7 linked regions of the Canis lupus familiaris genome follow. The protein of the gene in region 2 interacts with the protein of the main gene of each other region in a pairwise test. Links are inferred from orthologs where the notes say so. Each region holds a gene or a part of one and is shown on either strand. Other genes may lie near its edges. The genes, in order: SERTAD3, USHBP1, DTNB, EXOC7, PARVG, COPS4 and CCDC146.

Region 1 (4,088 bases), on a different chromosome or scaffold from region 2:
CTTGGGGTCCTGGGACTGAGCCCCACCTAGGGCTCCCTGCTCAGCAGGAAGTCTGCTTCTCCCTCTCCCTCTGCTGCTCCCCTTGCTTGTGCTCTCTCTCTGTCAAATAAATAAATAAAATCTTTTTAAAAATAATAAAATAGGGACACCTGTACCAGTAGGCTCCAAACGATTCTAAGTTGGTCACAGTCAGAGATTTTTAATTATCATAATGAAGCCAACAGATGCCCTCCTACTGGCCAACTTATGCCTCCAGACCGAAGGACCCAGAGAAAATCTAGCCTTTGCTACTGGGAAGTCATCCTTTGCAACCCTGGGAAGTGACTCTTCCAGATTCAGTTTGCCCATCTGTAAAATTGAATTAATAATAGTTCCTATTCCCTGCTTTATTTCTCTCCCTGTAACATACTGTCTATTTCACTCTCTTTATTTGTTGCCTTTTCCCAGCTAGTGTCTGCATGCAAAGGGCAGGGATTCTTGTTCATTTGGTTCCTTGCTGGGTGCCCAGCCCCTGACACATAACAGCTGTCAATAAGGATTTGTCAAACGGATCAAATAAGGGGTATAGACTGGCGTCCTGCACATGGGAAGAGTTTCATACATCATGGACTTTTTTTTTTTTTTAAGATTGATTTTATTCATGAGAGAGACAGAGAGAGAGGCACAGACACAGGTAGAGGGAGAAGCAGGCTCCTCGCAAGGGAGCCCGATGGGGGACTTGATCCCAGATCCCGGGATCACACCTTGAGCCAAAGGCAGACGCTCAACCCCTAAGCCACTCAGGTGTCCCACATTGTGGACTCTTATGCCCTCTGGGCTGGGCACATTGTAAGCACCCTGGAGCGACCACGTGTTGTGGGAAGGGGAAAGGGCCTCAGCTTCACCCAGTGTCTTAGGACCTCAGCTTCACCCAGTGTCTTTACACTTTCAGGAGACCAGCCGCTGACTGGGGCCTACACAGTAACCCTGGATGGACGCGGGCCCTCTAGGGTCATCTCCAAACATGACCTGGGCCACTTCATGCTGAGCTGCCTCACCACCGATAAGTACAACGGGCACTGCACCTACCCCTCCCACCAGTACGACTAGGGGCTCTGACCCTGTCCAGGAGGACAGCATTCTGGCAAATGGAGAACAGAGGAAAGAAGCAATAAATCTTGAGTCAAGAGCTTCAAATTATTCTAGAAGCCCCAACTCTGTGACTCTTTCCTCTGTCCAGTTTTGTCTGGGTGATTCAGTGTTTCTATCTGCCTCTGTGTAAGATTTTCACTCATTTCCTCGTCTGGCCCTGTGCTAGAAACCAAGGGAGGACTGTGAGGACCCAGGGGGCAACCTTACCTTCACAGATCTCACGGTCCTGCAAGGAAGACACCCCAGCCCATGACAGTGACAACCCAGAGTGGCCACAGCTCCGAAGGAGGAAGCCCAGAGGGGTGAGGGAGCTACCTGACCCAGCTTGAGGAGCCAACAAGTTAATAATACTTTGCTCCAAGGGGAGGAGTGGTCATCCCCAAGAGGCTGTTACATGGAAGCTAACCTGTGCAGAATCATTGTAAAAAGCCTGAGCTTTATTCTGAGGTTCTGTGCAAGGAGTGGAGCAGGAGAGAGGTGGGGTGGGGGGCACAGCCAGGTTTGTGTTTTATAAAGCTGCCCTTGGCTGCCATGTGAATGTGGATCAGAGGAGTGCAAGAGTAAGGGCTGGAGCCCCAGGGTACCAAGACGGAGGCCTTGAGTGGGGCCCGAGGGTGGGCATGAGCAGACTGGACAGTCCATGATGGAAAGGAGAGAGACACCCAGAAAGAAGCATAGAGCTGGAACCTGGAGACAGGGTTAGAGTGGGGCCATGGTGAGAAGGGGAGCCCTGGAAGAGGGGCAGGTTTGGGAGGGGGAGGGGAAAGAATGATCCCTTCTTCATCCTGTCCTTTTTTGGAATCTACTGTCCCCTGCCCATGTTCCCCAGAGACACCTTTCCCTGGTCTGAGTGAGCCAGTCCTCTCTCCCTATTTCCAGCTTCCCCCACCTACCCACCCAACATCTTTTCCCTTCTCCTCAAAAAAAATAGTAATTCCATTCCAATCCTATATTGCTTCTGCAAGCAGCAGGATGACTGGTTGACAAATTCCAACCGGTAATAACTGGTCTGAGAAGCCTAACTCCCGTCACAGGGGTAGCCTGGAGAAAACAGCCTCCTCCTCCCTCCTCTTGGTGAAACATGGGGGTGGGGCATTACTGACTGGTTCAGGCTTTCAGGGCACTAGCGCTGTTTTTTTCCTGCCCTCTTTCTCTTTCTGTCACATTAGGCATTTAATGTGCCTTCTTTGTGTCCAGCCATGTGCTAGGTGGTGCTATGGACCAAGCGCTGGGCGACCCAGATACAACCTTGGTGCCTGCAGGGCCCACAGTCCCCACGGTGGGCGCCCAGGTCCAGGAATGGAAGGCATGGGCAGAGGGGACAGGGCCAGGACGGGGGAAGCCCGGGACACGGGAGCAGCCCAGAATGGGAGGGCCTAACCCACTCTGGAGCATCAAAGGAGGGCTTCTGGGAGGAGGAAACTTTTGAGAGGAGTTCTGGGGAGAGGCGGCGGCCTGGGAATTGAAGGATGTGGGAAGCAAGCTTAAAGATCCAGAGGCCCTTTATTGCCATTTTTGAGGACTTGCTATGGTACCTAAAACACTGGGGATAAGGCAGGGAAGAAAATGGACAAAAATCTCAGGGTTTACGGTGGTGGCGGGCCCTTGAAGTCATTTTGGAAAAATGGAAACTCAATCACTGGGGCCGCATCGCAGGAGGCGAGGAGCGAGGAGGAGTGTGCATCAGGCCAGTCCGTGAAGGGCTTTGTGGAAAAAGGGAGGAGCTGGGACTTTGTCCCCAGGGCAGTGGCGAGCAAGGAACGAGTTCCCAGCCGAGGTGCCATCCCTCCTGAGCGAGGAAGGATGGGGCGCCGGGGGTGGGAGGGGAGGCGGCAGGAGAGACGACCGCAGGACGTGCGGCGAAGTCCCTGAGGCTGAAGAAAGAGGCCGCGGGGCAAACTGTTGGGGGGGCAGGGAGACGGGAACCCGGCTGCGATCGCCCAGGCAACGTAGGCCGCGCCGAACTATTGGCTGGTCTTGAGCTGCGTCATCCTCCGCCCCGCAGCGTCCGCCCTCGGAGCCCCGGGGGCGCGGCCTCCGCCAGCGGGGAGGGGAGGGGAGGAGAGGGGAGGGGTGTGCCAAGCAGCCTCGCCCTCGGACGGGGGTCCTCACCTGCTCTAAAGGGACCGCTGGGAGAAGGCTGACGATTTTGGAGCGAGGAGCGTGACTGCGGTGAAGGAAGCGGCTCTGACGTCCTCGCCGCCCTCCGCCCTAGAGACGAGGCCCCGCCCCCCCGGGCCAGTCGGAATCCTTTAAAAGGTCCCGGGTGGAAGGAAAAGGGAGGGCGGGGCGGGCGTCTCCTGGCGACCGGCCGGTGGCTCCGCCCAGCCAATCCTCGCCCCGCGGCGGGCAGGACTCCAGCCAATCGCGGCTCGCGGTTCGGGTCCGGGGCGGGGCTGGGTGGGCCGGAGGCCAGACCGAGAGGCCCTGGGGAGGTGAGCGAGGCTGCTACTCAGCACTGGTGGTGCTGCGGTCGGTCCGGGACTTGGTCATTGCGAACCTGGTGGCTAAGGTGAGAGAGAGAAAGGCCACCCGGCTTGAGATTCGCCTTGGGTTATGGGAGGTGGAGACGCGCCCCCGAGAGTTGTGAGGGCGGGGTCTGGGCGTGGGTCGGGGGGTGCAGATGAGGGTGACTGAGCGGGTTGGTGGGGTTTGGGGGCTGGAGACTGAATTCGAGATCCTGGCCTGAAGGCGAAGTTGTTGGGGGCAGTATCTTCAAGTGGAGGGACTTTGAAGCTGGGACCCAGGGTGTTTGGAGAAGCGAGAGAGCCAAGGAAGGAACTTCTGGGGCAGGAAATCTGAAGATTAGGACAATTCGGGTCCCCCGGGCGGGTTGAATTCGGGGCTCGAGTGCTCTGGAAAAAGGGTGAGGGGTTGGGGCTGGGATCCCGGACCTTTGGAAAAGCGAGAGAACTACGTGCAAGGAATCTGGGTGAGGGAGACGCAGTGGCGGAGAG
Region 2 (4,075 bases):
ACTTATATTTGGGATCTAAGATAAAACAAAACGAAAAATTGAACTCACAGTTATAGAGAACAGAGTGGTGGGTGCCAGAGGCAGTGGGGGTGAGGAGAGGAATGTGGGTGGGGGTGAGGAGAGGAATGTGGAGCGGGGATCATCTTTCCCAGCCAGGAAGTGGGCCCCACCCCTTAGGCTGGGCTCTGGTGGCCCCATATCTTGCCACCTTGGCCTGCCCAAGATGAGGGCCTGTTCCCCCATCTCCTTCAGCCACATGGCTTTAGATTCCATCCACATGTTAAAGAGGTCGGGATGTGTTTCTCTTGTCCTGACATCTCCCCTGAGCTCTGGATTCTGACCCCACAACTGTGTCTTTGATGGTCCTACATGGGTGGCTCAGGGGTTTCTTGAACTCATTAGGGTCCCAACAGCTCCTGGTCCTGCATTTCTGGCTCCCAGTCCCGCAGGCCCCCAAACCAGGACTTGTCCTCAACCCTTCTCTGGCTTTCACACCCAAACCTGCCAGCTCCACCTTCGACACCACCCAGAATCTGCCCACTTTGTGCCACCTCCACAGTTTCCACCATCTGGTGTCTGGACCAGTGCCTCGCGGATCCGCCGGCTGTTCCTCCCATGCCTACCAGAGGGCGCCTGTGACCGCGGCACCAGGTCCCGCCCCTTTCTGCCGCGGGAGGGCGAGGGTGGGGGGGCGAGGGGGAACCCCCCAGGAGCCCACCAGGCTCAGGGCCAAAGCCCAACTCCCAGAAGCCCACAGACCGTGTAAATCTGCCCCCATCACTAACCTGCCCTCCCCTCACCCCCACACTGGCTTGCTCACTGTTCCCTGACTCACACTCCCACCTCTGGAAGGGAGCTCCTTCTCCGCCTGGCATGCTCTTTCCCCAGATCCTTGCATGGCTCCTCCCTTACCTCCTGGCTCAAGTGTCACCTCCTCAAGGGGCATCTCTGACCACCTTATCTAAGAAGGCAAGGCACCTTTGTTCAGGGCTCTGCAGCAGTCAACGCTCCATAAAAGTTTTTCTCTTTCTTTTTTTAGATTTTATTTATTTATTCAGAGGAGACACAGAGAGAGAGGCAGGCTCCCTGTGGGGAACCTGATGTGGGACTCGATCTCAGGACCCTGGGATCATGACCTGAGTCAAAGGCTCAACTCAAGTCAACCACTGAGCCACCCAGGCGTCCCTCCGTAAGAGTTTTTCTAATGAACAAACAATGGAAGGTTGCCTATGCCAGGCCCGCCTCCCCCTTAGACAGAGAACCCTCAGAGGTAGAGCACAATACGTCGAGACCCTCACCTCTCTCTGCAGCATCTCCTTCTCCCCCTGGATGGCCTGCAGGGAGGCCTGCGTGCGAATCAGCTCCTCCTCTCGGCTGCCCAAGGCCAATCGTAGCCAGTCATTCCTCTCTGCCAGGCTGGCTGCCTCCCTCTGGCAACCACTTGCCCCCTCCTGCTCCAAGCAGGGCCTTGGTCCCACCTCACTTCTGTCCTCTGCCTCCCCGGGCCCAGGACAGCTGGGGGGCCGGCGGCGCCAGGCAGCCGCCGCCGCCTCCAGGGAGCTCAGAGCATGCTGGAGAACCTGAAACACGTCAGAGGCTTCAGGCCTGGGGGGGACAGTCTCCCCATCCTGTGGAGCTACATCTCTGGCCTGGTGGCCTTCCTCTGCAGGCTTGCGGGGTCCCTCGGGAGATGGGGCCAGTCCTCTGCTAGAGTCCCCCTCAGCCTCTTTGTTGGTCCTGTGGTGAAGTGAGAGACAGAAGGTTCTGGAAATGGGGTCATCTGGGGTGGCTGGCTCACAGAGGGTGCATTATCCGGGGCCTTGAAAGTTGGGCAAGGAGGGCAGTGGGAAGCTACGGCGTGTGTGTGAGCAAGGGAGGAACACAGGTAGATCTGTGGGGAGGAAAGACACACCAGGGCCGGAGTGGGAGCCCAGACGGAGGGGACCTTACCTGTTCCCAAGGCCCTGCCCACTGGCCTCTGCCTCTGGCCCCTGCAGCCTCGGCTCGCAGCTCTCCTGAGATGGCACAGGGCCCAGCTCAGAGCTCCCGCTGGCTGCCTCAGCCTCCTCTGAACTCTCCGCCACGGGATCCAGCTCCCCCTGAAAATGACCCACAGGGCCAAGCTCCGAGCCAGGCCGGGGGCGAGGGGGTGAGTGACCCCAAAGAGCTGGATGCGGCAGGGAAGGGGGCACTTACAGGTGGCGCGTGCCTCCCTCGCCGGCTTCGGGGTCGCGTGGCCCGGGCACTCATTGCTGTCCAGAATTCAGTCCTCTGATTCTTTTTCCGAAAGCCGCAGCCTGATCTCGGCTCTTGTCTTTGTTGGTCTGGGCGAATGACAGCCTTAATACCTTCTTCTATGAAATGAGCATCGATCTCCTCCCGCTGGGAGGGATCTTGAATTACCAGTGTTGAGCTGGCACATTTGAATACCCCTCCTGACAGGCAGCTCACTACCTCACAAGTTTGTTCCCACCTCCCCTTGTCTTTTGCCTCCTTTATCTTTCACTACCTCTGTGCTCCCCTCGGTCCCCAATCTGGACCTGGCTCGAGGACTTCAAGAATCACCTCTCCTCCCCAGGGTCCTCTTGAGTCGGAGGCCCCAATCTTGGGGTTGGGTCCCCTCAGCCTGCTCTAATGCTACTCCTCTGTACCTCTAGGAATACCTTGGTCAGCAGCCCAAATCCCTGGACACTCTTGGGGTAGCTCTGGCCACTGCTTGCTTAGGCCCCGGGCTGGCCAAGGCTGGCTTGGGAGAGGCCGGGAAACAGGAAGCCCCCTCCCCTGGTCATGTGACTTGTTATTGTGCTATTTCCTCCTCAAGGACATCAGCTTCCTCCAGTCCCGGTGGGACACACATGTCCAGCTCCTGACCTGTCGGTCCTTCCTTGCCCCAGCCTCCAATCTCATGTCTCTTCCGCCTCTGAGCCTCAGTTTCCTTATCTGTAAAATGGGGGGGGGGGGCTTTAATTATAGGATCTGTCTACAGTGTCATGGGAATTTTAACAAGCAACTTGCACATGACTGAGCACCATCCAAGAACTGAATTGTAACACACCACTCTTGTTCGCTGCCTCTCCGGCCCTCCCATCTCTGCTTCCTCTGCCAGCTGCTGCTTCTCCTGGATTCCTCAGGGCACAGATCGCCCCTACATCCTGCCCATTTTTCCTGCATCCATCTCTAAAGGGCCTCGTCATCTCCCTCCATAACAGCCCAACCCTCTCCCCTCTACCGGGATGCCAGCCCCTCTCTCTCCGTGGACTCTACAGCCACCCACCCCTTGACTCCCTTCCCCTCCCAGGCCCCAGAGACAGAGACCTCATTGTTCACCTCTTCTGCTCACACACCCTCCATGACTCCCCATTGCCCTTGGGAAACATTTCAAGCTCTTCTACCCGGCATTCGAGGCCCTTAAAAATAATGCCTGCTGTCTGCACCCATGTATACTCCATGCTTTAGCCATGATGACCCCTCTGTGAACAGGTGAAGGTTCACAATTCTCACATCCCAGGGCCTTTGGTTATGCTGTAACCCTTTCCTTGTTTCTGCACTTGGCTTATTTTTTATTTATTATTTTTTAAAGATTTTATTTATTCATGAGAGACACAGAGAGAGGCAGAGACATAGGCAGAGGGAGAAGCAGGCTCCCTGCCGGGAGCCCGAAGCAGGACTCAATCCCAGGATCCCTCGGGATCAGGACCTGAGCTGAAGGCAGCCGCTCAACCACTGAACCTCCCAGGTGCCCCTACACTTGGTTTAAACTGCGCAGAGCCTGGAGTAGCCTGAATCTTCCTCATTCCGCTGACAGACAGAGGAGGCTGAGTCTTCCTGCTTCTGCGTCCCCAAAACTGGTAAGGAAATAAGTTGCAATTCTCTGACTTGGGGGCACCCAGGCACATTGAAATCTACACTCTTAGCCTCTGCTCCAGCCATTTTTTTAAAAAAAGATTTTATTTATTTATTCATGAGAGACACAGAGGCAGAAACAAGGCGGAGGGAGAAGTAGGCTCCCCGCGGAGAGCCTGATGTGAAACTTGATCCCAGCATCCTGGGACCACCACCTGAGCTGAAGGCAGAT
Region 3 (4,234 bases), on a different chromosome or scaffold from region 2:
GCTTTATCTCCAAACCAAGCAATTTATAGCTCCAATTTCCCAACACTGGGAAAAGACCCAAAAAAAGACCTAAAGTGAATAAAGTGTGAGACGAAATTCAATGCTACTTTGTATTTCACATGCACACACCTTCGCTCCCAAATCGTCAGCACCTACCTACACGGCAGATCACGGCTGTGTTTTACACTATTTCGTGGCCCCAGCTGCTGACCGCGGTTCTCTACCCCAGGTAGCTAATCGATAAACGTTGGCCAGGAGCGCTGGAAGGTCTTCCTAATCCCAAGGCCTGGCACAGGAATTCAACGGCAAGCATCTGTTACCTCCACCCCGCCTGCTCTCAGGACACCTTCTTTTCGAGGGTGACCTCGGTGCACGGGTTCAGCACGGTTAGGCGCCTCCGCAAGCAGTGCTTGGGGGCGAGCTGAGATACAGTCCCTTCCCTCTGCCAGGGCCTAACTGCCTCACCTGCCCTCTGCCAGGACCTGCCTCCTTCGCCCCTCACAGCACCTAACTCAGCCTCCTCCTCCAGCAGCAGCATCAGCCCGGCGCCCGCAGCCCGGCCCCGCGCCCCGCGGCCACGGTGCGCTCGGGACCCCGGGGACCCCTCCCCGGCCCGGGGCTCCGAGCCCAGCCGCGCCGGCCCCGGACTCTGCGCTCGCGGTGCAGCGGCCCCGGCTCCCCGAGCCCCGTCCGTCCCCCGCCGCCCGGAGGCTCCTTCCCGCTCCTCGCGGGCGCGAGGCTCCAGCCCACCCCGCCGCCCTCCCGCAGCCCGCGGCCGCCGCGAGCCGCCGCCGCACTCACTTCCCGGCCGGAGCTGGGGACGCCGCGAAGGTCTCGGGCGGCCGCAGCCTCCTGCGCCTCCTGCGGCCCGGGCCCGGCGGCCGAGGTGGCGGCGGAGCCCGCTCAGGCCCCGGAGCCGCCCCCGCGGCGGACGTTCTCAGGCGCCCGGCTCGCGCCGTCTCCCCGCCCGGCACGCGCAGCAAGCCCGCCCCCGGCGCGAGGGCGCGAGGGCGCGAGGGCGCGGGGGCGCGGGGCGCGGGGGCGCGGAGACGCGGGGGCGCGGGGGCGCGGGGGCGCGGGGGCGCGGAGACGCGGGGGCGCGGAGACGCGGGGCGCGGGGCGCGGGGCGGGGGGCGGGGGGCGGGCGCGCGCCGCCTGTGCGAGCGCGCGGCCGGGGGCGGGGCTTCCGCCTCGCAGAGGAGGGGGCGGGCGAGCGGGCCGAGCTCCCTCCGAGCCCCGCCCCCTGCGGCCGAGCGGGACCCGGCTCCCCCGTCCCTCCCCTCCCCCCAGCGGGCCCGCGACTGGCGGACGCGGAGGGGTGAAACCCGCCCCCTTCCGGCTGGTCCCGCGCGCTGGCGGCGGAGGTGCGTTTCGATTCCACAGGTATGTGCCGGGGCAGCTGGACACTGTGCGCGCCGTGACTCGAAGGTGAAGAATGCAAAGAACCACCCCATGAATCATTCATCCGCGCCTCCGGCGAGAGGTCTTGCCCTGAGGGATCTTCCCAAATGAAGTTCAACCCAGCGAGCGTTTCGTGAGCGCCGGCTCCGCGCTTAGCTCGCTGCCAGGTGCTGCGCAGGTACGCCGTCGCGGTCACGGCCCCTGGTTCGAGGTGCGCATAATTTCGTACGAAAGCAGCCGTGTAAACAGGCGGGGCTGGTGACCCAGGCAAAGCCAAGCCCACAAGGAGATGCTATGGCAGGGCAGAGGAGGAAGAGATTACTTCCGCTTGGACCAAGTGGAGGGGGTTCCTGGAATAGGTGGCAATTGTGTCCCGACTGGAAGGAAGAGAAAGAAACACGTCCGAGGAGAAAAAAAAAAAAAAAAAAAAAGGGCGTCCAAGGCTGGGTAAACAGCTTGGGCGAGGGAACGGAGCCGGACCCAGATTTACCATCTCGACATCAGCTTTTTTGTTTTAATATTATTCATTTTTGACAGAATGCTTTCCAAAGTGTGTGAAATGTAGGAGATGATTCGAAATAAGAACAGCTAAGCTTTTTCTCGATAGTTCAGAGGATCGTTCTTCTCACAGTTGCTTACGGCTCAAATCAGCAGTGTCCTTTAAGGATAATTGCACTGTGAGTGCGGGATGTTAAGTCCCTAAGCAAAGAGCCCCCAAGCCAGGATGCTGTGCGCCTGGGTTTTCACTGCTTTTTGGCACCTTATGGTAAGGCAGATCGTGCCACCTCCTGCTGCTGTCTGCCTGCCTGACTGCCTTTAGAACATCCTCTTCCTCCTCCTCTCATTTTCCTATTTTTAAACTCCCAGGGTGAAGGAAATAAGTGAGGGTAAACAGGTTCCTCAAGGAAAGGACATCAACTTTGACACATGGATTTTAGGACTCTTGGATGCTTCTAAGCATGCAAGCTTTTTCAAGCTTTTTCGCTTGTGTGCAGGGTCTTGACTGTGTTCTGAATATGCTGAGATACTCAGAATACAGGCAAGAGACATCTTGTTTATTCATTTACCACTTACTGAGCACCAACTATGTGGGAGGCTTTGAAAGGGTAAAACATTGATCCTACCCTTTGGAGAAAAGATGTGTAAATGATGTAAAATAAATATGTCGATATTGTTTGCTATATTTGCCGTATTGATTGAAACCAAGGTAATTTCAGTACCAGAGCTGGACTATAATAAGCCATTCTGGGAATTAAGTTCACTTCTATGAGCATCATACATACCTCATTACCTCCCACATCCTCAGAAAACTCCTTTCAGACATATTTCGATCGTGCCCCCCGCCCCACCTCAAGCTCTCAAAATTATCAAACCCTCTTACCTTTTCCATCACCATCTGCCATAGTCAGGCTTTTCCTGTCCTCAGAACAAGAAACCCCTCGGTCCCTCTGCATTGTGTTCTAGTTACTGCTTGCTCCCTTTCTCTATTTCCCTTCACAAATGTCTTGAAAGTAGTTTGCACTCATCTCTGCCAACTCAGCAGCTTCTCCCTCGTCAACCCACACAATGTAACTTCTGTCCCCACCACATCCCTGCACCAATCCATCGTTAAGGGCTTGCTGAATCCCAAATGTCACAGGCTGTATCTGAGTCCTCATATCACTGGGCTCTTGGTGGCACTTGGCAACACAAAGCACTCCACTCTTTTGGAAACTCCCTTGGCCTTCATGACATGACTCACCTCCTCACCCTGCTGACCACTCCTGAGTCTCCCAAGTTCTGTTCTCAGTGTTCGGTTCACCCTACACAATCTCCTGAAGCCATTCCACCCCCTCCCTGTCTTCATCCATCACATATACCAGCAACTCTCAAATGCATTACTGGCTCAGACCACTCATCTGAGTTCCACAGACAAACACCTTCTGGACCTCTTCCCCTAGATGTCCTCCAGCCACCCCAAGCCCTATGTGTCTAAAACTGTTCTGCATTACTGTCCACTCAGTTGCCCAGTTCAGAAACCTGAGAGTCATCCTGGATTCCTCCCTTCCCGTCCCCACCACACTCAACAATCATGTTGATTCTCCTCATTAAGAACTCTAGAATCTGTCCCTCATGGCTAAGCCTCTCACCTAGACTAACGTAATAGCTTTGATCCTGTCCCTCTCCTGTGGTCTCGTTCCTTTCATTCCATATTCTATACTGCATGTCAGAAAACACTTCCCAGAATATGCTGCCTGCATATGTCACTGCTCAGCATGGCACGCAAAACCATCCATTCATCTATCCTTTGTCTATCTCCCCACTTCCTCTCTGTCACTTCCTACACAAATCCCATCCAAACTCCTGGAATGTTCCTCCTTTCCCTTGCCTGCAGACCTTTGTGCTTATTTCTCTCTCTGTTTGGAATGCCAAATAATGGGACAAATAATGAAATTTTCTTGAAATAAGAAAATGTAAACCTACATAATGAGAGAGCCCCCTTGTACTTGGGGGAAACCATCAGAGTGATCGATTCTAAGAGCTAGCCTCTTAAAACTATTAGACAAAAATAATAGTTTTCAAAGCCACCATGCAAAAAGTTCAAATTACTTAATGTACTAAGGCTGCAGTACATTAAAGATGTCTGCAGATTCTGTGTCCCTTCTTTTGATCCAGGCTGGCCCAAGAGAATTGCTTGACCAGCAGAATGTGTGATGTATACAGGACTTTTTTTTTTTTTTTAGATTTTATTTATTTATTCATGAGAGACAGAGAGAGAGAGAGAGAGAGAGGCAGAAGGAGAAAGAAGCAGGCTCCATGCAGGGAGCCGAACGTGGGACTCAATCCTGGGACT
Region 4 (3,500 bases), on a different chromosome or scaffold from region 2:
AAGGAGACTGGGACCCACTAGTGGAGGCTGGGGCAGGGGGCACCCGCAGGCAACCTGGTCCCATAAGCAAAGAAACGGGCTCCGAGTCAGAGCTTTAGAGCTGTTGGTGGAGTCAGATGTCAGGGCTCCCTGCCCGCCAGGGAGCCGCCGTCCAAGTAGCGGCGACTTCTCCCCTTGGCCCAGGCCCTGAGAGCCAGGCATACACTCCCATCTGGAGAGAGACAAGGAGACCTAGTGCCCAAAAGAGAGACTTGAGAGAGAGAGAGGCAAACAGGCCTGGCTCATCCTCAGAGCGGAGCCCTCCGGGGACTGTTGCCAAGGCAGCGGCGGCTGCCCTCGGGCTGGGCTGCGGTACTCACCAGCCAGCGGCCCGTGCTTGTCGTTCAGGGCCTCGGACAGGTGCTTAACTCGGAAATCATGCTCGTGACCTAGCAAGACGTCGGCCGCACAGACACAAGCAGCGTTTATCCAGGGGCCGGGTGGGCTGCCCCTCGGGGCCGGGGAAGAAGCCCTCAACCTCCAGGAGGGGATGTGAGATGGGGGTGTGAGAAGGGCCCCGGGAGGGGGCTCTGAGGCCCTCCTCTGCCTCGGACCACCTTGGGAACAGCCATTTCAAGCCTGACTCGCAGTGTCCCAGACCGTCCTTGGGAGCTGGTTCTCCAAGCCCAAGGCCAAGAGAAAGCCTGCGGGACGACCAAGGAGGGTTCTGGAGAGCTTCTGGCAGCTCCAGAGGATCTGATGCTCAGCCCCAGGGGGTTTACCCACCTCACCATATTTGGGGAGAGACCCAGTTAGAGTAATGTCACTGCTGAGTGAAACGGGACAGCCTCCTTTTGTTCCAAGGATTATTCTTTGGAAGGAGGGTCAGGTCCACCAGGGCAGGGCTGTCCCTCCTCTGATAGGAGGCAAGGAGGGACCCGGCCTACAGGCTGCCCATCCCCTTTGCGGCACACCCTCCCCTCTCTAAAGCCAGGGGAGGTGGGGGTGGCCCGGAGGCCTAGGCCGGCTTGATCCTGCCACTGCTGGTCTGAGCGTGAAAGGGCTGCCCATGACAAAGAACTTTCTCTGAGTTCAAATAGAAGACAAGGACAGAGACGGGGAGGGAGGGAGTAGGAAGCCTCAGGGAGGGCAGAGCTGCCGTCAGCCCGCCAGGACCAGGCCGAGGCCACGACACCTACCCCTGTGGCCATCTGGAACGAGCAGCACCAGGGACCTGCTGTTCCCACCCCTGCTCCCCTCTCAGGGACTCTCCCATGGCCCTCCTGGGGGCTTGGAGGCTCTGCCCTGCCACGAGAGTGGACACATGGTGGAGGAGGAGGGAACAGGAGAAGAACACAGGGTGATTACCTTCCAGAGGAATGAGGTTAGAGCCCCCCTTTTTCCCATCTAGACCATGCTGGGAATACTGTTTCAGAAGGTTCTGAGCCTTACGGATCGTCCCTGTCACCAGAGCCACACAGAGAGGAGACAAGAAGACCTAGGAAATGAGTGAGAGAAAACAGCAGCAGGCCTCCACCTGCCCCCCCGAGCCCCGGCCCCGGCCCCCCAACAGTGAGCATGCCCACACGCCATCTCTCCAGCAGGCCCCTTCCAGGACCCCCGGAGGCACTGCAGATGGACAGGAGGGAACGGGCCCAGGTCATGCCCCACATGGGGCTCCTGATTCTGCTACTGACCCTCGTTGCTCTGGATTTGAGTTCTCTTTAGGAAGTGCAGCAGGTGAAGGAGATGAGATGGGCAAAGATCCATCGGGAGAAGCCAAAAATAAAGACACCACTGAGTGGCAGTTAAGGCAGAACAGACCAGGGCTCAGGACGGAGGTGCTGGTGACGAAGCTCTCCCACCCGGAGAGCACAGCCAGGTTGGCGGAGTCTGGGGACCCCCTGGCCCGGCCCCGAAATGCCAGGCAGGGTTCCCCGGGCATGCTCAGTGTTGGGACGTGGACAAATGGAAGAGGTCGACAGAACGCAGAACCCGGGAGTTGGTGAAACGTGACTGAGCTTCTTGGGAGAGCGGTGCCTGAGACAGAAGGCCTGGAGACCCTGAGGCAGCCTGGCCCCTCGCACCAAAGCGACCCGAACCCCCAAAGCAATCGGGAACAAACTCAAAAGCTCGGTTGGGGTTAACGGAAGCCACCACACAGAGCCGGAGGAGGCAGGATAGTAGAGAGGGGGGCATGCTCCCGGCATGGGGGAAAAAAACAACAGTTAGTATCACGAGTGAAATCAACACAAACAAAACCACAGCGCCTACAGCCCCGGGGGTCAGCCACCTCGGTGGGAATGAGACCTCGCAGGGCAGAAAATGGGGGATATAAAATAGTATTTAAAATAGCCGAGGACAGCTGCCTTGTTGATAAAATGTACTAGGAACGGGGAGGAGGCCCCACGTGTAACCCTGGTTCGTCTCCCCTGGAGACTCCTTGTGTCCCCGCAGCTGTCTCTGAACACAGTGAGGCTGTGCGGGTCCTGGCAGCACCCCAAAAAGCGGGGCGAGGAGGGGCAAGATCTGTGACAGCTCCTTGTTCTGTTTGGACCACGTGACAATTAGCCACTAATGACCAAGTTCAGGGCCCAGGCTCAGCATCTGTCTCCTGTGTTCTCCCCATTCAGCCAGCGGTCCTGCTAATGAGCAAATCGGATTCCTGCCCCACAGCCCCAGCACACGGGCCTGGGGGAGGCTGGCTGGTGTGGACATGGGTGACAAATGCTGATGGGGTGGCCGCCAAACCCATCAGGTGCCCAGTGACCACAGATGCTGACATTGGGATTAGATTACTGGTCCACTGAGGCCTCGCTGCTCCCCACCTCCGAACCAGGAGCGGATGTGCCAGGGGCCTGGCTCCCTGGTTCTCTAACATCAGCCCTGATGCGCTGGCTGCTGACAGCTCTTGAGACTCTGCAGAGACCAGGGATCCTCACAGCCTGAGTCTTCCTCTAGAACCCACAAGCCAAGGACAGATGAGACCCCCTGTGAGCCCCGCCATGGCCAGCCAACACTCTGGGGGCAGTGCAGACCAGTCGGGGGCCCCCTGTGGGCCTGTCAGAGAAGAGATGGGGAAGAGGGCACAGGCCAGCTGAAGCGGGCTGCCTCACAGCCTCATGGAGGAAGACTGCCCCGCCCAAAGCACAGAGACATAGGAATAGACCTACTGTGTGCCGGCAGCTGCGGCCCAGCAGGCTGGCTCAGCACAGTCACTATTGGGAGCAGGTTTTCTAGGTGACAGCCAGGATACCCACGCTGGAGGGAAGAAGGCGGTGTGTCTCTGCTGGGGCCCCCAAGGGCAGCCTCTATGCTACCATTTCTCCAAACCCCAACTAAAGGCCTGAGTGGGAGCAGGTGCTTGCTGAGGGGCATAGGGAAGAGACACTTAAACACAACCTGCTATCACGAGGGACAGGTCCCACAGGCTACAGTGGGCAGTGTACACAGTGTACACAGCTCAGCAGTGTCAGCTATGGTGGCAGCAGCCCTTCACTTGTGATATCCTAGCCTCTCCT
Region 5 (4,275 bases), on a different chromosome or scaffold from region 2:
GTCACTTCCTATCTTGCTTCTTTTCTGTAACAGGGAGATGCCAGCTTGGGGCAGCTGAGCTGTCCTCTCTGACCACCTCCGGGGAGGGAGCTTTCGGGGGCAGCAGCTACGAGCTCCCCAAGCTGGGAAAACAGACCTGCTGAACCGCCCCATCCTACACCCATTCTCTTCCATGCGTGTGAAGGAAGCAGATCAATAACCCCTACCCCCACCCCCGTGAGGTGTCAGATCTCTGGGGACAGCTGCCAGCACCGCGTGGTGGGCGTGGATCCTGAAAGCTGGAGCCGCCCTCCTTGGGTTCAGCATCCCAGCTCCACCACGGTAACTGAGTCACCTGCTACTCTGGTACGGCCCTCTCTGGGCCTCAGTTTCCTTGTGAGTGCAAAGGAGGTGTACGGTCTACACTCAGAGCAATAAATGAGCTGCTGCCTGTAAGACGTGCATAGCACAGAGTAGCGGCTAGGCTCGCCTCAATGTCACCATTAACTTCGAGACGTGCGGGCAGGAGGGAATACCTGACGAAGTTTCTGGAATCAGGGGCGGGGGGCTGTCAGGGATGAAGCAGAGGGCATAGGCAGGGGCCGAATGGAACTGGGTGTTCGGAGGACGACTTGGTAAAGCAGGGCCGTGCCCAGACCTGCCTGTCGGGTTCCTGCTGTGCAGACCCTCACCAGCACCCACCCCTGCTGCCCTGCCCTGCCTGCCCCCCGGCCCCCCCTGGACACGGCACCTTGTGGGAGTTCCTCCTCCGCCGGCGGCCCCGCCACCTTAGGACGCTGCAGCAGGTTGTAGAAGGACTCGGGCTCCATTTCTCCCGTGCCGGCCTGGGGTGCAGGGGACAGAAGGGATCACCGTCCGAGGAGCCCCGCACTCACCCTGTGAGTCATTTCTTCCAGACCATGAGGCTCAGGGACAGTGGGAGGGGGGTTGCCTAGGCAAGGGGACAGGTACCCCAGATGAGAGGTAGGCCTCAGGCCGATTCTTGTAGGATGTAGGGCTGGAGAGAGGCATCGGCTGAGGGCACGGCCTGAGCAAAGGCGCCTCCTCGGTCGGGTGTGGAGGAGCCAGGCCGCAGCTCTTCTGCGGCACCCAGGAAGTCCGGGCCCCACTCCCTGCAGTCAGGACAAAGGGGGGTGGCCCACTCTCCAGAGCTTGTCAAGGTCCAGGAAACCCTAGAACAGGGCTCCGGGGGTACCCAGGGGGGCCCACGTGGGAGTTGGTGGAGGTAAACACACTGATGAGTGACGTCTGTGGGGGTTGGACTAGGGGGGCCCTGGGGTCATCCTCTCCAGGTCTCCGAACCCGAGACAGGTGGGCACAGAGTGGCACCCCCAGTCTTTGAGTGAGCGGACAGAGCTGGCGTGCCAACATCACCCAGGCTCATCTCCTTGTGGGCCTGGCCTCAGAGGGTGGCCTGGCCCTGCCCGTCCTGGTTCTAAACGAGGCTCTCTACAATGCGCCTCATCATCCTCAGCCTCTCTGCGGTTTGGGGGGTCTCAGTGCTCATGCTGGCATGGGCGGGGCCGGCATCTGCAGAGTGTGCACAGCCCCCTTCGGGTGTTCATTATGGACAGGGAGCCGGGCTCACCCCCAGTGGTATGGGGCAGCCCTGGCCTCCTTCCTGTTCCCCTAGGCTCACTTCCTCTCCTGCTCAGCCGGAAGCTCTGCCCCCCTCTTCAGCCCCGGCATCTCCACCGGCGTTTCTGGTCCCAAACCACATTGGGGCTGGGGTGTCACACATCAGACTGGTGCTCGGCTCCAGTCCCCGGGGAGGCCTGACTACAGCAGCAGGGTCCAAAGCTGGGGCTAGCTGGTGGCGTTCCCTGGGGCTGCAGCCACCCCATCACCCCAGCAGCCAGCCCAGGGACACCAGGGCGCTGCTTGAGGCGCCATCCTACCCCCTGAACTCCCAAACCTCCTCCTGGACAGGATTCGGTTCAAAGGATGTGGCCAGAGAAAAGAGTGTGGCCTGGGGGTCAGGTGGCCCAGAGTCCAGCCTGGCTCCTCCTCATTCTAGTTGTGTGACTTGGGATAAATCCCCTCTGTTTCTGGTCCTAAAGATCTTTATACAAGGCAGGGCCCGACTCAGAGTCACCAAAGGCAGTGGAGTGGACACAGAGCTGGAAGAGCCGCAGGCCATCGGCCACTCCGGGCTGTCCCCGTCCTGCCCTGGGCCTCGGTTCCTCCATCTGAAGCCGGGTGGCCTCTCTCCCCCGCACGCTGGGGGAAGCTCAGGGGTGATGGCATGTGGAAAGGGAGGCTGCCCACCCGGCCACACTGGAAAGAGGATGGCGCCTGCCTGGCCCCAGGAGGGGAGGGGACAGAGGGGCTGCTTCTGAGCATGGGTGGCTGGAGGGGCACAGAGGCTCAGGGTGTCGCCTGCTGGACTCTCTCTCCTGTGGCCCCAGCTAAGGCTGTGTTCTCTGGGGTTGGTCCCACCAGGGCCCCGGGAGCCCTCCCTCCATGAGCTCTGGCTCCCCAGCATTACAGAGGCTCGCAAGAGCGGAGACGCCAGGAGGACTCACCTAGCTGCCTCCTCCACACCAGGAAATGAAGGCCACGTAGATCCTGATCACCGGCCTCCAAGTACGAGTTCCCAGCAGAGGGGGGCTGGAGGCCGGGGTGGGGGGGAAGGCAGGGGCCACGCACCCCACTCACTTCCTCCCAGCCTGTGGCTTCCGCAGGGCCTGCTCGGCTGCGTCTGCAGGGAGCTTCCTCCTCGCTGGGCCTCGGGGCCCGGTGCCTCCACGGCCCCACCGGAAAGCTCTGTCCCCAGAGCCCCAGCCACCCAGCCACACCTCCTGGCCCTCCGATGCCTCGATGCCTCGCAGGCAACTGGAACCTGCTCTTTCTTCCCTCTCTCGCTCTCCCTCCCCACCTCGCAACCCCAGCCCCAGCCAGTCCCTCCCAGGCCTGCCATCTCCCAGGGGCAGCCCCAGAGGACCTCACATCCTGGCCACCAGCGAACCTCGAGCCCTACCTCGGGCCATCCCTCCTCCCTCATGCCCCCGCCCAACCAGCCCCTCTTCCCCTCTCCCCTGGCCTGGACCACAGAGGAGCCTCCTTACTCGACCCCCGTAGCTGCTGCCCTCTACACCCCAGCCCTGCCCAGGAGGCTCATGTCCCAGACCATCAAAACCCACCACTGGCATCCCATTGCTCTTAAATAAAATCTACTCTGCCCATGGGACGCCTGGGTGGCTCAGCGGTTGAGCGTCTGCCTTCAGCTCAGGATGTGATCCCGGGGTCCTGGGATTGAGTCCCACACCGGGCTCCCCGCAGGGAGCCTGCTTCTCCCTCAGCCTGCTTCTGTCTCTGCCTCCCTCTCTGTGTCTCTCGTGAATAAATAAATAAAATCTTCAAAAACAATTACAACAAAAACTCCAAAATCTTTTCTGCCCAGCACAGCACGTGTCCTGATGCACCTGCTGGCTGGATCTCCATTCCTGCCCCCAAGCCTCTCAGCCATGTGTTGACCGCCTCTGCTTCCTGAAAGCACCACGTCTTCTGTTTCAGGGTCTTCACACTTACTCTTCCTAGAGGCTCCTGCTCCAGCTTTGAAAGTGGCTAAGTCCTCATCTGTATCATCAGCTTAAACGCCTCCTCCTTCAGGAAGCCTTCCCGAACAGCCTGATCTAAAAGAGGCCGTCGGTAGGGTTCCTCACCACAGGCCTGAAGGTCTCGTGTCCCCTAGAATGCTGCCCGACACCAAGCAGACTCCATGAATAAGCGCTGCTGGCTGCTGTTGCCTAGGGGATAAAGTTCTTCCAGAGGAGAAACGGGCCTTGACGGATGAGTAGGAGTTCGCCAGGTAAAGATGCATGAGAATGTTCCAGGTGGAGGGACCAGTGCATGCACAGGTGTTAAGGAGGTTAAGAAGGTGAGGCCTCAGGATGGCAGGAGAGGCAGAGATCAACTCAGACTGGAGCTTTGTCCTGAACTTGAATCCTGAGGAGCCAGGATGACATTGTGAGTGTTCACGGCAGCAGTGACGGGGCCGAGGGGCCAGCAAGCCGAGCACCCTTTCTCTGCTGACAGAACAGGCAGGAACGGGGTAGAGGGGTAGGAAGCAGGACCGAGGGTACCTGGGAGCATGAAACGCGTTCCCAGGAAGTTACAAAAATGACAAAAAGTGTGAGTGATGTTACCACCGCCGAGAGTTACTGAGTAACCGATGATGAAGCAGAGTTTTAAGGGCTTTGATTTTACGGGAGCCGGCCTCTGGGGCAAAGGAAGACACAGAGGGGCAGGATTCAGTCTCCGCCCTCCCAACGC
Region 6 (3,977 bases), on a different chromosome or scaffold from region 2:
ACAAAAGTAGTTTATAAAATTTGCAAAAATGCATCTCACATGGCCGAAGTCTTATGTCAACATTAGATTGTTGTGCTAACTCACAGTTATGAGAAAGCATTTCTAATTGAAGTTTGGGTGAGAAAAGCATACAGGGCTGGTAGGTTAAAAATAAGCTTTTTAGAGTAGATAAACATGGGTTCAAATACAAGCTCTGTACCTTTCTAGCTATTCATTAATTCAACTATCACTTACTAAATGACTGCTCTGTTATAAATATTCTGCTAATTGCTAGAAACACACAGTATCAATATTTTAGAGACGTATTTACTCTGCCATCCCATTCCTTAACATGATTTCTTTGTTACTCAAATCCTAAAACTACTGATACATTTCAAGAGTGTTTTCCTCATAGAGAGGTAGCTGGCAGAACTGTTTTTTTATGAAAATAAATATTTGACATATTCTTATCCAGATAGGACCAGATATGTACCTGTAGGGAAGGCCAAGAAGGTATCAGTTATCAGGCACAATCATCTCATGTAATAGACCATTACAGTAATGGCCTCCAATGAATCATGCCCCCCATCTGTCCATACCCCTTTGTAAAGTAACTTGGCCACTCCTCTCATAAAAAGGCACACACCATTTTTTCCTCCCTTGAATCTGGGCTGGTCTTGTGACTTACTTTGACCTGTTTTAGAAAACTGATCTCATAAGATTTCCATGGCTAGCCTTAGAAGTGTAGCAACTTCTACTCTCACGCTTTTGGAACACTTCTATGGCTCTGTAAGGAGCTACTGAATGAGAGACCATGTGGAGAGACAGACTCAGCCAAGAGCCTGATGTATATATTGAGTCCATTTTAGCCCCACCAGCCCCAACGGAGCTCCCAGCGGAGTCTGCACCTGCATGAGTAAGCTCAGACTAGAACAGCACAACAGTCCAGTCAACCCAAAGAATCCTGAAAAATAATTATTTTACTCTACTAAGTTTTTGTTTTCTTACATAGTAATACATAACTAAAGTACCCTATAAGATTGCTTATTCAGAGCTGAGGAAGCAAATTCTTAGCTTAAGTTTCAGAATTCAAGAATACTTGAAAAACTGTATCTCTTCCAATAAATAATGTACTTCATTTTCTTCAACAAAACAAAACAAAAAGCAAAGGGGGGGAAGGAATATTAGTGGAGCATGGGGAAAAATAAATGCTCATTTTACTTTCATCCAAATCTGTAAAAATTACGTGCAGAAAGGATTAAACCATGAAGACACATTCACCTTATTTACCATCCAAAGAATAAGTCAATGTATGTATTTACTAACTGCTCTACAATAATAGTAACAAAGACAATTTTGTGGCACTAAGCGTCAGGTACTGCTCTAAGTGATATGTATGATATAAGTGTATATACACACACACATACTCATTTTGCTACACTTCTAAGTGTCCGTCCTCAGACAAGAATAAGTCCTATGATCCCCATTTTCATGAGAAGGAAACTGCAGTACATAGTAGCTAAATTCAAGATACACAACTAGATTTCCCACTGATAAAACTAGATTACATTTGCCATCAGAGAAAAGATAGCAGACCTCACATAAAACCCAGTAAAGGTTTCAATGGCCAGGTTAGAGCAGGTGTGTCCCATTTATACAGATCAACATGATCTCAGCGGTCAGGATGTAAATATTACCATCAACTTGAAACGCATACTTTAAACAAAATGCAAGTTCAATACAAAAGAACAGTACTGTATAATCTACAAAAAGAAAACGGACAGTATCTTCCTACCTACCTACGATTAACACTATTGAATAACTGCTTGCATGACAAGCACATGTCACAAATTTTAACGTGTAGTGGATCTAAGCCTTCGACGTAAATTCCTAAACAATTCAGATTCCTGCAAATATCACTAATCCTGACTCACACTGTGAGGACGTTCCGCTTATGTGCCCCTCTTCAGAGTTGGTAGCGGAGAGAACCCAAAACATTAAATATTCACTGAAGACGGTCTCGGTGGTTCTGAACAAGACAGCGGCCATACCTCCTCAGCCCCCGTCAGCCTTGAGAAGCCATCTCCCAGAAAACTCTGCATCGAGGTCCCATAATATAAATTTCCCTCAATTAAAAAAAAAAAAGAAAAAAAAAAAGGCTCCAAGGAGAGACCAGAATTCGGTGTGGGATACTGGCCAGCGATGAAAAGAGGCACCAAGGAAAGCTAAGAAGGCCATGGGAGCAGTCGTCCCTCACTCAGGCTATGCTTCCAGAGTGTTAAGAAACCGGTAAGGATGCTATCAAAGATAAAACAAGTGGACAGTCACCCCAGGTCTGTTGCCCCTGAAGGCTTCCCTGCGCAAGGTCCCCACCAGCTTTCTGCTGCCCCCAATTTTTGCGTCCACAAACGACCTCAGGCCCGCCCCCTTGGTGGTCAGGCCGGCTCACATCCCAAAGCCGCCGTCAGTCCAAGAACAAGGTCTACGGCTTCCCTCCCGACCTTCCAGGCCCCTGGGAAATACTCACTTGCCCGCCAGATCTTTATGAGAGCCGCTCGAATTCATGAGCTGGGCCAAATCCTGCCGCACGGCCGCCGCCATCTTTCTTCCAGCTCAGCAGAGGCTGCTGGGCCTCGCACAGACCAAAAGAAAACGACTGTAGTCCTCCAGAGTGCAGCTAGAGGGAACCCGAGATGCCATAGAGTAGCGACTGCGTGGGCCAGAGCGCCCGGCGTGCGAGCTTGTGCGGGGTCCGTCCGCAGAGTGGAGTGACGCGAAGCTCCACTCACGGCCGAGGCCCGCCCAGGAGTCTCCCCCAGGCTCAGGCTCGCGCGCTCCCACTTAGGATTGGCGGATGAAGTCCAAGGCGTGTGTAGCTGGTGCAACTCCAGTAAGTGCCCGGTACCCAGAATTACCGCGTCGTCATTAATTAAGTTCCGTGTCTCACTCAGGCGGTGTACTGTTCCTCGTTCTTTAAGACAGCCCTTAAACAATTTTTTTTTTTTTAATTTCCGATTCGCCACAGACTGGTACTCTTGTAAAATACAATAAAAATGTGCATATTTCTCCCTAACTTTGTGCCCTTCGTATAGGTTGATGGTGGCGCATCCCAGTTGGTCCAGGACGGTTCCGTCTGTTGTCCTGGAGTGATTACTAATAAGACGCCCTTTTACTCCAGAAACTACCATCTGGATGATAAAATTATATGGTCACCCACCTTTATATCTAATTGTGTTCGTTACTCATGTATGCTTATAGAATTTTTTTTTTTCTGCAAGTATATGTAGATTGTTAAACTTTCTTGCTTTCACATAAGACAACACGCCATATCATTATTCCCCTTGATTTTTTTTTTTTTCTTTTTTAGGGGGAGGCTCTTACCATGTATATCCGAAGAGCTTCCTCATCATTTTTTTTTTTTTAACTGGAGAGTATGGTCATAGTTTTATCTTTATAGCTAGACATTTAAGTTATTTTTAATCAATCAACCAGTGCTGCAATAAAGAATTACCTACCAACAACAGGTAGGAGTGCCATTCTCTGCAGACTTTTGAATTTTGCCCTCATGATATGGAATAAATAGCATATTCCCTCTATTGGGAAGGGGAAAGAAAAAAGACTAGAACCAGGAAATTCTTCAAGAAAATAATGTGGAGATTTGCCTACATCAATTCTGATACCAATCTGTTAGCAAGAATTTAGTCACATGACTAGGCCTAGCAACAATGAGGCTAGAAATTTCGTTTCCAATTGGACAGCCCTTTGTCTAAGAAAAGGATGGGTCTAAAGGGACAATCAGTAATCTCTTCTACAGTCTGTTCCTCTGATTACCTAAATAGCTGTGTGTATTCTTACAGTGGAACACTCCTACCGCTAAAGAACAGAGAGCGATTCCCTATTCAGTTTCTATACCAACTCAAAAAGCAGGGTATCTGATGATGCACAACCCTGTCCATCAGATTGGGATATGTCTTTTCATGACCCAGAGTTATATACAC
Region 7 (2,351 bases), on a different chromosome or scaffold from region 2:
CAGAACTCAGAAACGGCCAGGGACCATGACAAGAGAACAGCAATCACACGACACCCATGCCTAATAGTCTTGGGGGGCAGCCACTGCCGGGGCCCCACTAGCAAGGCGACACCTTGAATGTGGAGCTTCCCAATTTCAGACGTTTAAAATCTGAGGCCTGCTACTTTAGAGCGACCCGTCAGGCTGGTGCTAGAGCGGGGCAGTCAGCAGGAGGGAGCTCGGGGAGGCAGGGGAGGCAGGGGAGGCAGGGCCTCCGCACAGGGCCGTCCGGGTCCCCTGCTCGCTGGGCCTCCTGGCCCCTTGGAGCATCCCGCCGTGACGGCATGGGGATTTTAATTTCCCTAAAGCTGGTGTGCACTAAGCTCAAGAAAAAAAACAATCTGTTGAATGAATGAACAGTCAGTCCCATTCCAGAAACACTTGGGTGCACTAAAGAAACAAAATCATTATAAATCTCAAGGCTCCTTTGCCGTTTTCCCTTGGCTTTTACCCGGCTGCTCTGAGGACTTCCACTAGCACACTGAGCCCCCAGTCCCACGGCTCCTGCACAGGTCACAACTTTACTCCAGAAATAGGAGATGTTAAGACTTCTTTAGTCTCATGAACTTGCCTGAATCAGCATTTCTCTAATTTTCTCTAAATGTTGTTTCTCTAAATGTTGCCTTCCTTCCTTTTGCAAAATGAACTTCCCTCTCTTTAGGGGAAGTCCTTCGTTTTCACCCAGGGCTGGCTGGTCAACAGAGTCTGGAAGTCAACCGAAAGGCTAGAGAAATGTGAATGGTGGTGACTGCTACCTGGGAGGCTTCCGTCAGAGGAGTCCTAGCCTAGTGGTTGATCTCCCCTGCCTTTCCCCACCTTTGGTGTTCTCTCCCTGTTTTGTTTTTGTTTTTTCATTCAACATTATGACCTCTTCACAGTAGGCAGAACTAGGGGTAGAATGGTTCAGATCCCAGGTCAGGGACATAGCAATACTAGCGAGTGACCTTGAGAAGGACACAGAGAGGATTTTAATGACCAAGTCTTCTAATCTGTGACAGGGATGTGACATTAGCTTAAGTTGTTTTAAGCATTCACTAGGTAAGAAGTGGCCTAGCCCCTTGTGGGGACTCAACAAGAATGCAGATCTCCAGGCTCTCATCTTTCCTAGAAGCAAATGGCTTCTCAGTGTACCCTGGCTCAAAAGGCTGGAGGATTAAGATAGAATTCGTTAATTCCTTCATTCAACAAATATTGTTTTAATCGTGCTATGTTCTACTTAGCCTGATCTTTTAAGTCTTTGATGATAACCACCTGATGTGAAATGGTAAACATACGTGTAGAACAAGGAACATTTCATTTCAAATGACTGACCAGATTTTCCCCGGTTCAGTTCATGCTTGCTCATGACCTAATAAAGATACATCCCAGGAATTATGATCAATAGTGCAACCACAATGAGGTACGATATTTTCCATTAAAAATCACTTCAGATGCGGGACCTCTGCATAGGTGATGAGTTTTTTTTTTTTTTAAGATTTTATTTATTTATTCATGAGACACAGAGAGAGAGGCAGAGACACAGGCAGAGGGAGAAGCAGGCTCCACACAGGGAGCCCTATGTGGGACTCAATCCCGGGTCTCCAGGACCAGGCCCTGGGCCGAAGGTGGTGCTAAACCACTGAGCCACCTGGGCTGCCCAATGATGATGAGTATTTTTTAAGTATAGTTTTTGTTCTACCAGATTTTTTTCCGCTGGATAAGTGACAAATTAAAAACATGGCAATCTTAGGCCAGAACTTAGACATCAAAAATATCCTGTCCTTTTCTTCTTCTCACCTCTTAAAAATAAAGGGACTATTCCCCTCAATGTTACCTATCCACTTGGAACTCCATAGTTCAATGAACAGATGTGTTTTTCTCCTTACTTACACAGCCAGGGAATTGGGCTCAATCTCTGAGATCTCTCCTAGTTCTTATTTTCTCTGAATTCCCACTTAGGCTCTCCCTCCTTCAGGCAAGAATGCCCGCCGCCGCCCCCCCCCCACACACACACCTCACCGTTCTAGACAGCTCTCAGCCTGCCATTTTCTTGACTCTTCATGGAATATATATAGTCTAAGCTTTGGGCTCTTTCATTCTAGATGAATGGCTACCGGAAGAAGATCAAAGATGCTACGGAACAGATGATGGCTCTTGTTGCTGAGCTGTCCATGAAGCAAGCTCTGGCCATTGAACTCCAAAAGGAAGTCAGGGAGAAAGAAGACTTCATTTTCTCTTGCAATTCCAGGATAGAAAAGGGCCTGCCACTCAATAAAGACATCGAGACAGAATGGTTGAAGATACTCCGAGATGAAGAAATGTATGCCTTGGCC

The links.
Region 1: the proteins of USHBP1 (region 2) and SERTAD3 interact in binary tests that used the Homo sapiens proteins (3 or more experiments, as listed by UniProt). The two-hybrid records come from large-scale screens. The link is inferred for Canis lupus familiaris from reciprocal best matches to the Homo sapiens genes USHBP1 and SERTAD3.
Region 3: the proteins of USHBP1 (region 2) and DTNB interact in binary tests that used the Homo sapiens proteins (3 or more experiments, as listed by UniProt). The two-hybrid records come from large-scale screens. The link is inferred for Canis lupus familiaris from reciprocal best matches to the Homo sapiens genes USHBP1 and DTNB.
Region 4: the proteins of USHBP1 (region 2) and EXOC7 interact in binary tests that used the Homo sapiens proteins (3 or more experiments, as listed by UniProt). The two-hybrid records come from large-scale screens. The link is inferred for Canis lupus familiaris from reciprocal best matches to the Homo sapiens genes USHBP1 and EXOC7.
Region 5: the proteins of USHBP1 (region 2) and PARVG interact in binary tests that used the Homo sapiens proteins (3 or more experiments, as listed by UniProt). The two-hybrid records come from large-scale screens. The link is inferred for Canis lupus familiaris from reciprocal best matches to the Homo sapiens genes USHBP1 and PARVG.
Region 6: the proteins of USHBP1 (region 2) and COPS4 interact in binary tests that used the Homo sapiens proteins (3 or more experiments, as listed by UniProt). The two-hybrid records come from large-scale screens. The link is inferred for Canis lupus familiaris from reciprocal best matches to the Homo sapiens genes USHBP1 and COPS4.
Region 7: the proteins of USHBP1 (region 2) and CCDC146 interact in binary tests that used the Homo sapiens proteins (3 or more experiments, as listed by UniProt). The two-hybrid records come from large-scale screens. The link is inferred for Canis lupus familiaris from reciprocal best matches to the Homo sapiens genes USHBP1 and CCDC146.

Annotation. Positions count from the first base shown.
Region 1 is NC_049222.1:114,041,090-114,045,177, forward strand, and holds the start of SERTAD3 (SERTA domain-containing protein 3), read left to right. Parts: upstream 1-1,288; 5' UTR 1,289-1,433; intron 1,434-2,615; exon of another isoform or gene 2,616-3,005; intron 3,006-3,234; exon of another isoform or gene 3,235-3,440; intron 3,441-3,488; exon of another isoform or gene 3,489-3,643; intron 3,644-4,088. Other genes in the region: BLVRB (flavin reductase (NADPH)), read left to right, coding at 932-1,089.
Region 2 is NC_049241.1:45,884,277-45,888,351, reverse strand, and holds the start of USHBP1 (Usher syndrome type-1C protein-binding protein 1), read right to left. Parts: upstream 2,801-4,075; 5' UTR 2,664-2,800; intron 2,383-2,663; exon of another isoform or gene 2,325-2,382; 5' UTR 2,251-2,324; coding exon 2,197-2,250; intron 2,100-2,196; coding exon 1,951-2,099; intron 1,738-1,950; coding exon 1,299-1,737; intron 1-1,298.
Region 3 is NC_049238.1:19,927,672-19,931,905, forward strand, and holds the start of DTNB (dystrobrevin beta), read right to left. Parts: upstream 2,801-4,234; 5' UTR 2,783-2,800; intron 1,580-2,782; exon of another isoform or gene 1,250-1,579; intron 919-1,249; exon of another isoform or gene 802-918; intron 237-801; exon of another isoform or gene 157-236; intron 1-156.
Region 4 is NC_049230.1:5,424,782-5,428,281, reverse strand, and holds part of EXOC7 (exocyst complex component 7), read right to left. Parts: intron 1,441-3,500; coding exon 1,348-1,440; intron 429-1,347; coding exon 360-428; intron 1-359. UniProt on the Homo sapiens protein: Component of the exocyst complex involved in the docking of exocytic vesicles with fusion sites on the plasma membrane.
Region 5 is NC_049231.1:22,506,691-22,510,965, forward strand, and holds the start of PARVG (gamma-parvin), read right to left. Parts: upstream 2,801-4,275; 5' UTR 2,526-2,800; intron 1,113-2,525; 5' UTR 1,012-1,112; coding exon 952-1,011; intron 825-951; coding exon 731-824; intron 1-730. UniProt on the Homo sapiens protein: Plays a role with ILK in promoting the cell adhesion and spreading of leukocytes.
Region 6 is NC_049253.1:33,045,303-33,049,279, forward strand, and holds the start of COPS4 (COP9 signalosome complex subunit 4), read right to left. Parts: upstream 2,801-3,977; 5' UTR 2,581-2,800; coding exon 2,507-2,580; intron 1-2,506. UniProt on the Homo sapiens protein: Component of the COP9 signalosome complex (CSN), a complex involved in various cellular and developmental processes.
Region 7 is NC_049239.1:17,680,170-17,682,520, forward strand, and holds part of CCDC146 (coiled-coil domain-containing protein 146), read left to right. Parts: intron 1-2,120; coding exon 2,121-2,351. UniProt on the Homo sapiens protein: Essential for sperm flagellum biogenesis and male fertility.